Linked DNA regions of Neodiprion lecontei. The protein of the gene in region 1 purifies or fractionates together with the protein of each later gene. This does not show direct contact. Links are inferred from orthologs where the notes say so. Each region holds a gene or a part of one and is shown in the gene's direction. Other genes may lie near its edges.

Region 1 (5,170 bases):
TATAGATATAAAAATATCATAAAAACTTCAATTCTACAATAACTCACAATTTTTTGATCTACCTTTGGCCTTTGCGCCAGCAGCATCGGATGCCTTAACAAAGGTTCGTTGCAATTTACTTTTTTGCTTCTCCCGATAATCTGCAGCTATTTCTTGAGATAATTCGGCTACAAGCTGCATTGTTTCTTCGGGATAGCTAAAATCATGAAATCCTGAATTTAGAACAGGAATATACAACAGCTGTCAATATTATTTAAAAAATGGTAGCTACATGTAATTGGCTGTTACTGATCAAATAATCAATTTTGAGGAATATAACGAAAACATTTAACTTTCAATGTGTGTAAACAAAAAACAGGCATGCCGATGATTAAAATATGAAAAACATGAGATCTTACTAATTACTATATTAATTTAGAAAGTTTTCTTTGTGTTCGCAGACGTACCGACACCCTAAGAATTCTATGTTTGTGAAAACCTGCGCCAGACATACAAGCTCATCCTCAGGAAAACTATCTTTGTGGGCAAGAAGGAAGCGGCGCCTCAATTCCCAGTGCTCGTCACACTCATGCTCCATTTTGTATTGTTCTACATCCCATTCCTTTTCTGATTCCATTTTCATTGGCTCTGTAGGAAGAACTTGAGAAGTAAATCTAACCTGAAATGCAGAAGCGTTCGTGTTTGCAATCGGACATTAACTGTAAAATAATTTATACGACGAAAAATAAATGTTGGATGACGCGAGCGAAATAAATTATGACCGGTTTAGAATCGGTATATTCTCGTGTGGTTCGGCCAGTATATTTGTGACCATACCGAAGCTTTGTGAAACGTCAATCGTAAAAGATAACCAAAAAATGCGAGCGTTTCATACTTCAAAAGTTTTCTGTTGAATAATAAATAACGGTAACTGAAAATAAAAAATCAGTACAGATCAATAAAAAATTACTACATGTACAAGTTAAACCCTCTGAAGGGAATAAGTAAGATTACGTATACATACGTATGCTGTATGTATTGTATTTGTGAATAGTGATTTATCGTATGCATTACAAGCTTCGGCCCCGTTTACACCAAGCTTGCACGACTCGCGAATACGTCAAACGCGTATTCATTTCGGGATAGTAATCCTGATTGGTGGTTCCGCCAGCCAGTGATTGTGTGACATGCAGCCGCCACTTTTCGCTACAGCGGCGTTTGCCATCACAATTTGAAGGCATGTAATCATATATCATATCACGGATGCATTACGACAAGTTAAATTCAATATTTTGGCAAAATGGAGTGAAAATTCTTTGTAATCATTCACGATAGGCAACCAAAAGTGAGGAAAATAGTTGGTGAATGGGAATTATAATATATGCAATGATTTCTTCACATACATATACATATATACATATATGATGGTGATATGGTGCGCCGACCAAAATAACCAGTATTGGTGGATCGCAATTAGACTTCGACGATCTCTTAGATCAAAATAAAGACCGAAAGCTCGTTGCACCGAAAGGAGATTTTTACAATTTTCGGTTTTGCGTCAACGCGAGTTTACGACGTATTTGGGCGTCGAGGTGTAGACCAATGACTAGAGCGTTTAACTAGAAAACTTCACCTTCCTGAAAACCTAACGGAGAATCCCATTGGGTGAAACGCGATGCCTGAAGCGGTGTGGATTTTCAACAATATTTATACCAGGCTTCATTTATTTAAAAAAATAAAATCCGCGAAAGGGGGGGTAATGCAATTTACAAGATAAACAAAAATGTATCGGCGTCATTGGGGCGATCGACAGTCGGGCATCGTTGACGATACATAATTGGGTCATCGAGTATGTGGCTGTAAGCTACGTGGTCTTTCCCGTAGGATATATCTCGATCGTATATGTCGGAGAGAACGTTCGGAGGGCAACCGGCAGCCTCGGGCAGATTGTAAAAGCACTCGAAATCTCTACGGTATATAAAAAATCGTAGACCAAGCTAGCCTGGCTGGGGCGACGATAGTGCTCTCTGTAGGCGTCTGGCCATGCGGTTAATGCGTGTGATTTCCAATTTCCGTTATCCTATTTTACCGACCAATGGCGTAGTGAACTTCGACGAATCTACATCCTTTCGAAAAATAGAGGCTTCTGATTGGCTAGCGGATCTATTGCCTCGCAAAATGATAGTGGGGATGTAAGAACATGGCTGCAACGCAAGCCGAAAGCCAACAAAACGATGTGCATAGTGAAGTGAAATGTATTCAAAAACATTCTCAACTTGGGGTAAATAGCAGCGTAAAGGAATTCAATACCAATGATGAAGTATCCTGTAATGCGGTGCTTAAATATGTGAATCGCGGTGGGCCAAATAATCCCAGTTTAGCGGAGATGAGTCAATACCGCGAGGACATTAGTGGACACCCTACTGCTGCTGGTGCCGTGTATAGTAGTGAACAAAATATCGGTGGTAAATCGACGAAAGAGGGATCGCTTGGGGGTGATCACACCTCGAAAGGTGAAACACTTGACACAAGTCATCCGCATGGTTTTGTTGGGAACACCTTGGGCGGTAGTGGGGGAAGGGAGTATAACAGTGATGAGTATTCTAGTAAACAATCTGTCAGTGAAGGGAGCACAGGACATTCAGTGAGTCAATGTGAATCTTCTGATGAACATTACCTGGTCTCTAAAATGGAGTCACCGCGCCTCTCTCACTCTAATCCCCCTGTGTCTGCTGGATTCCCGGGGCAATCCCCAAGATTTTTATCCGGTCAAAGTATATCCCAAGCCACCGGCCCTACGCCTACGCTTAACCAATTGCTTCAAGCATCGAGCCCCGTTCATCGGTTTCACTCCAACTATCCAGGCATGGGGGCAGAGCCGTACCAGCAGCCGTGGCCCATGCAGCGTCCACCTGTCGTACCGCCGGTTTACCCGCAGCCAGGACAACGCCCCCCGCAAACTGTGAGTAGAATGAAACTGCGCGTTTCCCTCCATTCGTCGCTATCATGCAATGAGTATTTTCAGCGCACGAGTTTATAGGGACGACTACACGGGTCTCTGGAATCACTGCTCTGTGGGGTAACGTGAACCGGTGAAATTTCTCCAAATTGTCGTGTCCAAGCTCAAGGGTGTTGAGCTACTAGAAAAACGTGGAGTACCCGAGAAGCTCTGTTGCCTCTTTCACGGGAATACCATATCAAAATTCTGTGACAACGTATCCTGCAATTTGCCATTAAAGTAAAGATTGCGTTTGCCAAAATCTTTCGGACTAATTTCATCTTTTTTATAACCTTGTCTTGGGTCTATGGTCTTACGATTACGGCTGTACAATTCGACATGAATGAAAGCTTTTGCATAAAGAGAAAATATAGCCAAAATGTTTATTTCCCACATTCCATGACTAAAAATACAGGGCTTTCTGTTCGTTAAATGAGAAAATCTTCAGATTATCAGTGATTCCGAGTCACGAATACTGAATCTGAATCAAGGAGTTGCTCGTAACGAATAGCGAGCAAGGATTTTTTCTGATTGCATATTCTGTGATAGTTATATAACTAATTTTTTTAAGCATAGCTATCTAAACATGTTAGACAGCAACTTAGGTTAAGGTTTCAGGACTTTGGGTATGCGACTGTTCGTGCTTTCCGATAGCGGGATATTAGACCCGTTGCTTTGAAACTGTGGCTACGTGGACTTTGTGGCAAAATTTCGAGTTGTATGAAATAAATTTAGCAAAGAATTTCCTTGTGACATATATCGATAATGTAGCAAGCATTGGTAATATTCTAACTCAGTTTAGAAGTAATGAGGTATCAAATATTATACATTACAGATATGAAATTGTGTAGTATTCACTGAGCTTTGTCATATTACGTGTAAATGAATAATTATACGTACAAAATGGAAATCTATAGCCTTGTCAGGCTATTTTCAGTCAGCTGTCGTTTCAAATTTGGGATACGCAATATTAATTAATATCTATGTGCATAAGGAATAATGTTTCAAGTAAATAGTACGTGTAACACAAGTAGAACAAATTCCCTAAGGTTTCACATTATTGTTAGGTCAACCTGTACGTCAGAGTTCATGAATTTCAAATGCTATAAATCCTTGATGTGAAACTTTTTTTTGTTTGGGAATTGATTATTCGTATATCAAGAAATCAATACCATCAGTAATTCGTAAAATGCACAAAATTAGTCTTTTGTAAACCTCTGCTCAGTAAGATCTAATCTCACATAATTGACCGCAGGTTAAGTTCAATAATTAAACATTCATCGTACCACCCGGACAGATCATATTTCAATTTTTGTTCAATATTCCCAGTGATTGAAAGATTGCACAAAAGCTTGCAGCATATATCTTGGGATAGAAATTAATGTCGACAATCTTTTCAGGGTTCACCAAGGTTACATCCTGGCCCGGGGGGACCAAGGTCCCCAACACCCATGCCATATCCACCCTACACCCAACGCTACTCATCGACATCCCGACCTCATGTACCGTACAGTCACCATCAGGTAAGCAAAAATAATTTACCAAGCTTTATGTACTGCAAGAGTGAACTGCTGTACGATCGTCATGTATTCTTTAAAGAGAAGAATAAAGATCATGCTGAAGTTAATAGCGTTACCATAATGACTTATGCTGAGGAAAAACTGTTATTTTGTGACTTTGGAAATGATTGAAATCAGTAAACCATAATAAATCAAGACATAGGCTTATATTCCGAAATCTTAGTTCCTTCAGCCGTTGTAAAAATAAGAAAATACTAATGTTTTTCCCAATGTTTCGTTGCGATAACGTTACTAACTTCAACCTCGTGCACAATTACATAGCTATGTACAAGTCCTAGAATCTGACTGTTGACTAAACCTATTATTAGTGTGAGTTTTATGGAGTTACATTTATAGTAGCTCTCAACATCTTTTTGAGCACAAATCCCCTGATAAAACCTTAATTGAAACAAAAAATGTCTAGTAGAATAGGAGAAATGCAAAAAAAAAAACTTAGGAGAGAATCAGATAAGATCGTTGAAGTTGTAATCTTAGAATTGACTGTGCATGTTTCTTAAACATGAATATTAACAAAAAAGATTTGTGTACATCTAACATGAAATACTATTACGTTTGTTCATATCCTCACAAGTTAATAGACTCGAAAATTGGAGAAAATTCCTGATCATTTTCT
Region 2 (7,128 bases), on another chromosome or scaffold:
ATTATGACCAATTACTGAGCGGTAAAACTTTATTGATTACGGAATACCTTTGAAGTGATGTAGAAGATTCGTATTTACATGACTCAACCCACGGTCAACTCAGCTTACCGCCGTGTTTATGTTTCACGAATAAATGTTACAGACACTAATAGTAAGCCCACGAATGAACCTGCAGTCAGTATTATACACATGTCACGAGTCGTGAAGAGCCCGAGAAGGCACGACTTAATTTTTCCGAACATCCGTGCGCTTTAATTCTTTTCCGAATTAATGAATCAGCCGAAGTATTAAACATGATATCGCATCTTTCGACAAACGTATCAACGCTTCGGCGCGCGACTGCGATCTTGTCTCAAAGCCGACAGTCAGCTGTTCAATACAGTCCAGCTAGATGACAACACACTTTGCAACGTGAATATGATCGATATTCTCGAAAACTTACCGACACGAAGTAAGGTGATGTTCCCTGACATGTTGACACAAAGATTGTTCGAATACCAACTTGAACATGGTAGACAGTGTATTCCCAGTAGGGTCCGTTTTGTCCACAGTCATGTAAACTGGATAAATCTACGGAGGATCAAAGGTAGTAAAACCAGTTCAGGTTTAACCACGGTCCCGTGACTTAGTAAAAACGTGGTAAAAACATACAGGGCTCTGCCCATTGCATTGCCTAAGCGGTCGCGACTCCCTATCGCCTGCTTGATACAAAAGTATGACTTAACCAATAAACGAGTTATTGAAAATAAAACACTCTGCAAATATATTGAAGTTGAATTTCGTACGTAACTCTAATTAACCGTTATATTTGCCACTTTGACGAATGCATCTCACGCTCTATTGACAATTCTCATGTAGAATTCATGTGAAAATTCATATCAGAACCTTATACGTGAGTTTATAAAGCAACGAATGAAAATCTAGACTTTTTAAGTACAATCAACGAACAATCTTCGCTCGTCGCGGCGATATTAAACACATATCGACGATTATAAACAATGCAAAGCAATCCATTTCATCTATAATAAAAATTCAACGAACAATATGAATTAAGAAACGATCAACAATCGACGTCTGCACGACAATAATGTACTTAATAAAAACAATTAATCGTGTGACGTATGAAAAAATTATTCAAAAAATTACGTATTATTGTTCACCATGTAATAGGTCTGCTGAACATACCGCATTAAAAAAAGCACCGAATGCTCTACTGCTTGCGATTGTGTGGAACACATAATTCATACACTATTCCAAAAATTTGTTTCCATTTCGTTGTAGTTTTACAAATTTTTAGATTAGCTGATACACTTATTTGCCAAACGTACAAATTTAATAAATTAGACCCCCATCTAAGACATTTTCAATCAATATTTCCGACTTCGGAAATACAATACAAAAAAAAAATGGGAGACTATGAAAACTTCAAAAAAGTCGTATAAACTTCAATTATTTCAGATTATTGTAGTCTGTTATTTTCGCAGATTATAATTTGTCTATTTTCAGATGTGTGATGACAGTGTTAAGCAAGTTTTCAAATGTTGTCACATTAAATTTTCGTTATTAGTATTCAAAAGGTAAGTGGGTGAGGAGCCATCTTAGCGATCTGAAAGCTTCTTTATCGGCGGGTGGCATACGCAATCCCACAACGCCCGTTTCCTTCGAAACAGTTTAAACAGCGTTCATTTTTTTGTATATAGTTGGGGATAGGCTGAACTTAGTTTAAACTTCGATTAACGTGGGAGAGATCGGGCCTAAGTCAATGCCATGTCAATGCTACGTCAATGCTGTAAGTCTTTAGTCAACACGGTCAACACGGAAGATAACAGTCCCATCCCCTTTCATAAAAGGTAGTCTTCAGTTAGCGACGCCGTGGGCACGAGAAACGCGAACACGCATCTCTCGATTCTCTTGATTCCAAGACTATTCTAAAAATGGGAAAGTCTACTGTCTAGTGACGAATCAAAGCGCACTCTGGTTTTCGCAGTTTGAACATTTGTACCGCAAACAAAGTCCCCCCAATTTATTTCCTGCTAGTGCGTCTCAAGTTGAGAAGTGAAGGTTATTTTCTGCCTATTTTGATTTTCACGTAGATTTTTATCGGTTTTCAATATACTCTAACTACTGCTATGTTATCCAGTGAAAAAATACCGTCTAATGTAACTAATAACTATTGAAAATACTGAGATATCTTTTTTTCTCCTACGGCTTTCCAGTGTCAACTGAAAACATCCCAAATCAGATATTCTTGCTCTTTATTAACTCAATTATTTTAAAATTTCACGTGGAATATTTTGAGTTAATTATCTCACCCCCCACTTAGGTCTTCCATCATAAATATCCAACCTGTGTTCTGTAATTAAACTGTGCTTAAATTTACTACATCATATTGGTATTGAAAACTTATCGCGTCATTTGTGCTCTTACTCAGCGCAGCCCGAGCAGGCTTGGTGAAAAATAGCATCTCGTGGCTTCTGCCAATCATCACTCAGTTTTCAAGAGTTATGCATTTAAATGAAAGAGAATATCTTGTGTAAAGGTTTTTTTAATTATCATCCATCACTCGATTAGATTTCCTTGTTTCTCTTAATGTACAGGCTTTTTTCAAGCGCAACGTCTAGTATTTAACTGTATGACGTGTATTTAGGGTAATTCTATACTATTGAACTTAATTTTGATTTTACTCATATTCAGATAGCTCGCTTTCAAAATGGCACAGCGTTTTCCTGTGCCAAATACAGGAAATAATGGCCCACCATCACAGCGATACCCTCCTCCTTCCGTACCACCAAATCTGAGACAATATTCTGGCCCCAACTTCCCGGTAGGCAAGGTTAATTTTGATTCTTTATTATTTACTAACTACTAAGTCTCTCTCTCTTTCTCAAACTACAGCGAGCAACTTTAAATTCACTCGAGTTATTATGATCCAATACTTTAATTGAAAAAAAAAATGATTTTTCGTGGCAATTATTATTAGAATATGACGGCTGAGGTTTTCTCTATTTGTAACATTTTTAAATTTGAAAAAACTCCTTTGTATCCAAATTGTCTACTGTTCTTTGGGTGAATGTCTCTTTACGCAGATGCAGCAAAGGTCAGGTTTTACCCCACCTCCACAAATGGGCAGTGGAGGCCCAGGACCTGGAGGAATGATGAGGCCAAACCAGCCATACACTAATATGCGCCAAGGACCTATGCCCACACCTCCAGGAAGCAAAAGATCTACTGAGCAACGGATACCAATATCTCAGCAAAAACCGTGAGTCCATTTTATTTCTATAATCTTAGATGTAATGATTATTATTGCTCATTTTTTGAACATACCATGTAATTTACAACATTTCTTTGTATGCTTGTAACATTATAAAGCAAGTGAATGTTCAATTTGTCAATTTATAAAGTTATATGATGCTTATGGTACTGAAATTCTTTGCTAAGTCTTTTTCGTTACTGTGTTTTTTTGTACGTTTTTCATGGTACAAGCCCTCACTGTTCTGGATTAGAGCTCAAACTAAGGTACAAAGTTTTTACCAGGCGATGCAGCCATCGTCATAACTAATTTTTACAAAAATCTTTTCAAAATTAATTTTGATTTTTGAGCTATGATTTTTCACGCAAACTCACTAGGTATTTTTGGAACAGTGATTTCTCACATTCCACATCGAAGAAGAAGAAGAAACTGGCAGACAAAATTCTACCTCAGAAAGTACGCGATCTTGTACCAGAGTCACAGGCGTACATGGATTTGCTTGCTTTTGAGCGTAAACTTGATGCTACCATTATGCGCAAACGTTTGGACATCCAAGAAGCCCTGAAACGTCCTATGAAACAAAAACGAAAGTTGAGAATCTTTATATCTAATACTTTCTACCCAGCTAAAGAAGCTGGCGAAGGAGAAGAAGGTTCTGTTGCTTCGTGGGAACTTCGGGTAGAAGGAAGACTTCTCGATGATACAAAAAATGACCCCAACAAGGTATCAATGAGCCCAACATTTTCGTATTATACTGGGAAAAGCGGCATACATGTTTTGGGTTGTTTCATAGGTCAAGAGAAAATTTTCATCCTTCTTTAAAAGCTTGGTAATAGAGCTAGACAAAGACTTGTATGGGCCAGATAATCATCTGGTTGAATGGCATCGTACGCTGACAACTCAAGAGACTGATGGTTTTCAAGTTAAAAGACCTGGTGATAAGAATGTTAGATGTACAATTTTGTTGCTGCTTGATTATCAACCACTGCAGGTACATTTTATCATTAAAACATATTCAAATTGTATCAAGGTGGCGACTGACCGAGTAATCCGAGAAAACCAGAAATAGTCGGGGAGTTCCGTCTATCGGGAAAAGTCAGGGAATTATGATGGTCTACAGGAAAGAAACTGTACTTTTTTGATAAATTGTTTTCAAACTTCAACTAGGCTTGGTAAATTAAGTTAAGCTCGCTTTTGGAAATGTTACTGTGCAGTTTTTACACACACACATACACACGCGCGTGTACATAGCTTTTAGTCATAAAAACCACCCAACATTACCTGAGCTTCATGAAAAAAGGTCAGGGAATTTTAGTCGAGCAAAGTTGTCGTCACCCTATGTATGTAAACATCTAATTATGTGTAATAATTGAGACCCTACGTGCAACAGCAACTTAACTCGAGTTAAGATTTGGACAATGAAATATTGAAAATTATGATCTTATGGGTGTGTAGTGATATCAAAGGTTAGGACAATTTCGTCAAAACAAAAAACGATTGATTTTTTTTATTAAAACACCTGTACATCAGTTAACAAATACTTTATTCATATTTCATTGTCCAAAACTTAACTCGAGTCAAGTTCTTGTTGCATGCAGGGGTTCAATTGACTTATTGCCAATTTTGCAGTTCAAGCTCGACCCTCGCTTAGCTCGCCTACTTGGTGTTCATACACAAACTCGACCAGTCATCATCTCCGCTCTCTGGCAGTATATAAAAACACACAAACTTCAAGACGGACATGAACGTGAATTTATAAACTGCGACAAATATCTGGAGCAAATATTTGCTTGTCCTAGAATGAAATTTGCTGAAATACCTCAACGCTTGAACCCATTACTTCATCCGCCAGATCCAATTGTTATTAATCATGTCATTAGTGTAGAAGGTACGTACAATAATAATCATTGAGCATCTTCGTAAATGAATACAGTTTGATTGACAAAATTGTTGTATGGAGTACATCAGCTTTTAATCTGTCAAACTTTTCAATTGATTTCAAATGTGGTTGTTCCTCGATTTGAAGAATATGAATCCAGGTATAATACTAATTCTTGCTCCATTGCCATTAAAACATTTTCATTTAGGTACAGAGACAAAGCAAACCGCGTGTTATGATATCGACGTTGAAGTAGATGATACGCTCAAGACCCAGATGAACAATTTCTTGTTGTCGACTGCAAGTCAGCAAGAAATTCAAAGCCTTGATAATAAAATTCACGAGACAGTGGAAACTATAAACCAGTTGAAAACAAATCGTGAGTTCTTTTTGAGCTTCGCAAAGGACCCTCAGCAGTTTATCAACAAGTGGATTATATCACAGACTAGAGACTTGAAGACAATGACAGATGTTGTTGGCAACCCCGAGGAAGAGCGTAGAGCTGATTTCTACTATCAGCCTTGGGCCCAAGAAGCAGTATGTCGATACTTTTACACTAAAGTTCAACAAAAGCGTGCAGAGTTAGAACAAGCTCTTGGAATTCGCAATTCATAAACCTCAAACTATCCCATAATTGCCAACGGTATCGTCAGTTAGGCATGCAATTGCCAACCAGTACACTTTCCTGAAGGACACGGTTTAATATGATAATTTTTTATGTGCTCATGCATAATTAAGGCGAACGATCCAAATGATTAAAAGAGTTCTGTGAATTTTTTTACATGATTATAACAATTAAATTCAAATCGAATGAATTATAGCCAAAATTACCCAAATATAACTTTTATTGGCACGGCATTACCAATTTATTATACTACGTCAGGTGAATATGACTATTGCCTCAAGTACAAGTCAGGAAGGTAAAAAGCAGTAATACGATTATATAAAAATTGTATTACACTTTATAAATGTAATAAAAACCATACCATAGATAAAGTCGAACTTTTAACTGTGGATTATACTGCGTATTACCACAAATTTCTGATTATTGATGCTATTCAAATTAAGAAATACGTCAACGAGGTCTGCTGATGCAACTTTTTAATCATATTTAATAATCTTTCAGAAATGTATCGTGAACATTTAACAGTATTTATAACATTTAATATTTTTGCTAATTTCAATTTGCCTCCGTGCATTCAATGTCACTAGATTCATCATCAATACAGTCACATTATTGAAACCCATACCTTTGTGGTACATTCACAATATTAATTGAAGTAAAGTATGTGACTCTTTCACCGGGTATACAAAAAATAAGTCATGATTATACACATTATAGCAAATAAATAATATTGAGATACAGCCGATAAATTTTTGTGTTTGATATCGTCCTCTTGACAACATGAACTCATTTTTTAGTTCTTATATCTGATGCTGCTGAAGTTCGTAGTACTCTGTAATTATTGGATGAAAAAGTTGTAATAAAGCGAGCGAATTCTGTTTGGTGTTTCAAACATTAATTATTTGTCATATTTGTATAGTAAATAGTTTTACAGGTTTAATGTAGAGTATCAGAATAATCTACAGATTTCCACGAAATTTTTTCGTACGGAAAGGATGTCTCAAAGTGGACCAATCACACTCACACAGGGGTCAATTTACAGCGGTTATCATGATGCATGGAAGGACCTGTTGTAGCTTGGAAGGCCTGTTTCAAGGTATTCTCTATACACAGTAAAGTGAGGATGACAAATCCTTTGTCGCTCAAAGTGCTTTTAGGAGATCTTGTGTGCATTCCTTCATACAGTGTGTGATATTCCAGAATCTGCTCCAAATTCGGATTTTCTTCCTATAGACTATACGTTTCTCAAAATTAGGTATTTGTGAATGAAAACTTGGATTTAAAACACAAAAAATGCAGAGTTCCAGAGCATAAACATTGTAATTTTATTTATCAGTTTTGATACCTGTCAAATGACAAAAATCACAATGC

What was found.
Region 2: the proteins of trithorax group protein osa (region 1) and brahma-associated protein of 60 kDa purify together in Drosophila melanogaster (affinity purification with mass spectrometry; 3 studies listed by BioGRID, with this or other methods). This does not show direct contact. The link is inferred for Neodiprion lecontei from reciprocal best matches to the Drosophila melanogaster genes osa and Bap60.

Annotation. Positions count from the first base shown.
Region 1 is NC_060263.1:27,304,143-27,309,312, reverse strand, and holds the start of trithorax group protein osa, read left to right. Parts: upstream 1-2,050; 5' UTR 2,051-2,179; coding exon 2,180-2,941; intron 2,942-4,377; coding exon 4,378-4,500; intron 4,501-5,170. Other genes in the region: NF-kappa-B-repressing factor, read right to left, coding at 63-196, 447-622. UniProt on the Drosophila melanogaster protein: Trithorax group (trxG) protein required for embryonic segmentation, development of the notum and wing margin, and photoreceptor differentiation. Required for the activation of genes such as Antp, Ubx and Eve.
Region 2 is NC_060261.1:37,097,558-37,104,685, forward strand, and holds brahma-associated protein of 60 kDa, read left to right. Parts: upstream 1-1,767; 5' UTR 1,768-1,789; intron 1,790-1,828; exon of another isoform or gene 1,829-1,850; intron 1,851-1,925; exon of another isoform or gene 1,926-2,159; intron 2,160-2,694; 5' UTR 2,695-2,710; coding exon 2,711-2,833; intron 2,834-3,086; coding exon 3,087-3,262; intron 3,263-3,486; coding exon 3,487-3,519; intron 3,520-3,630; coding exon 3,631-3,976; intron 3,977-4,046; coding exon 4,047-4,244; intron 4,245-4,882; coding exon 4,883-5,141; intron 5,142-5,340; coding exon 5,341-5,747; 3' UTR 5,748-6,506; downstream 6,507-7,128. UniProt on the Drosophila melanogaster protein: Involved in the recruitment and site-specific anchoring of the Brahma complex at specific promoter sites.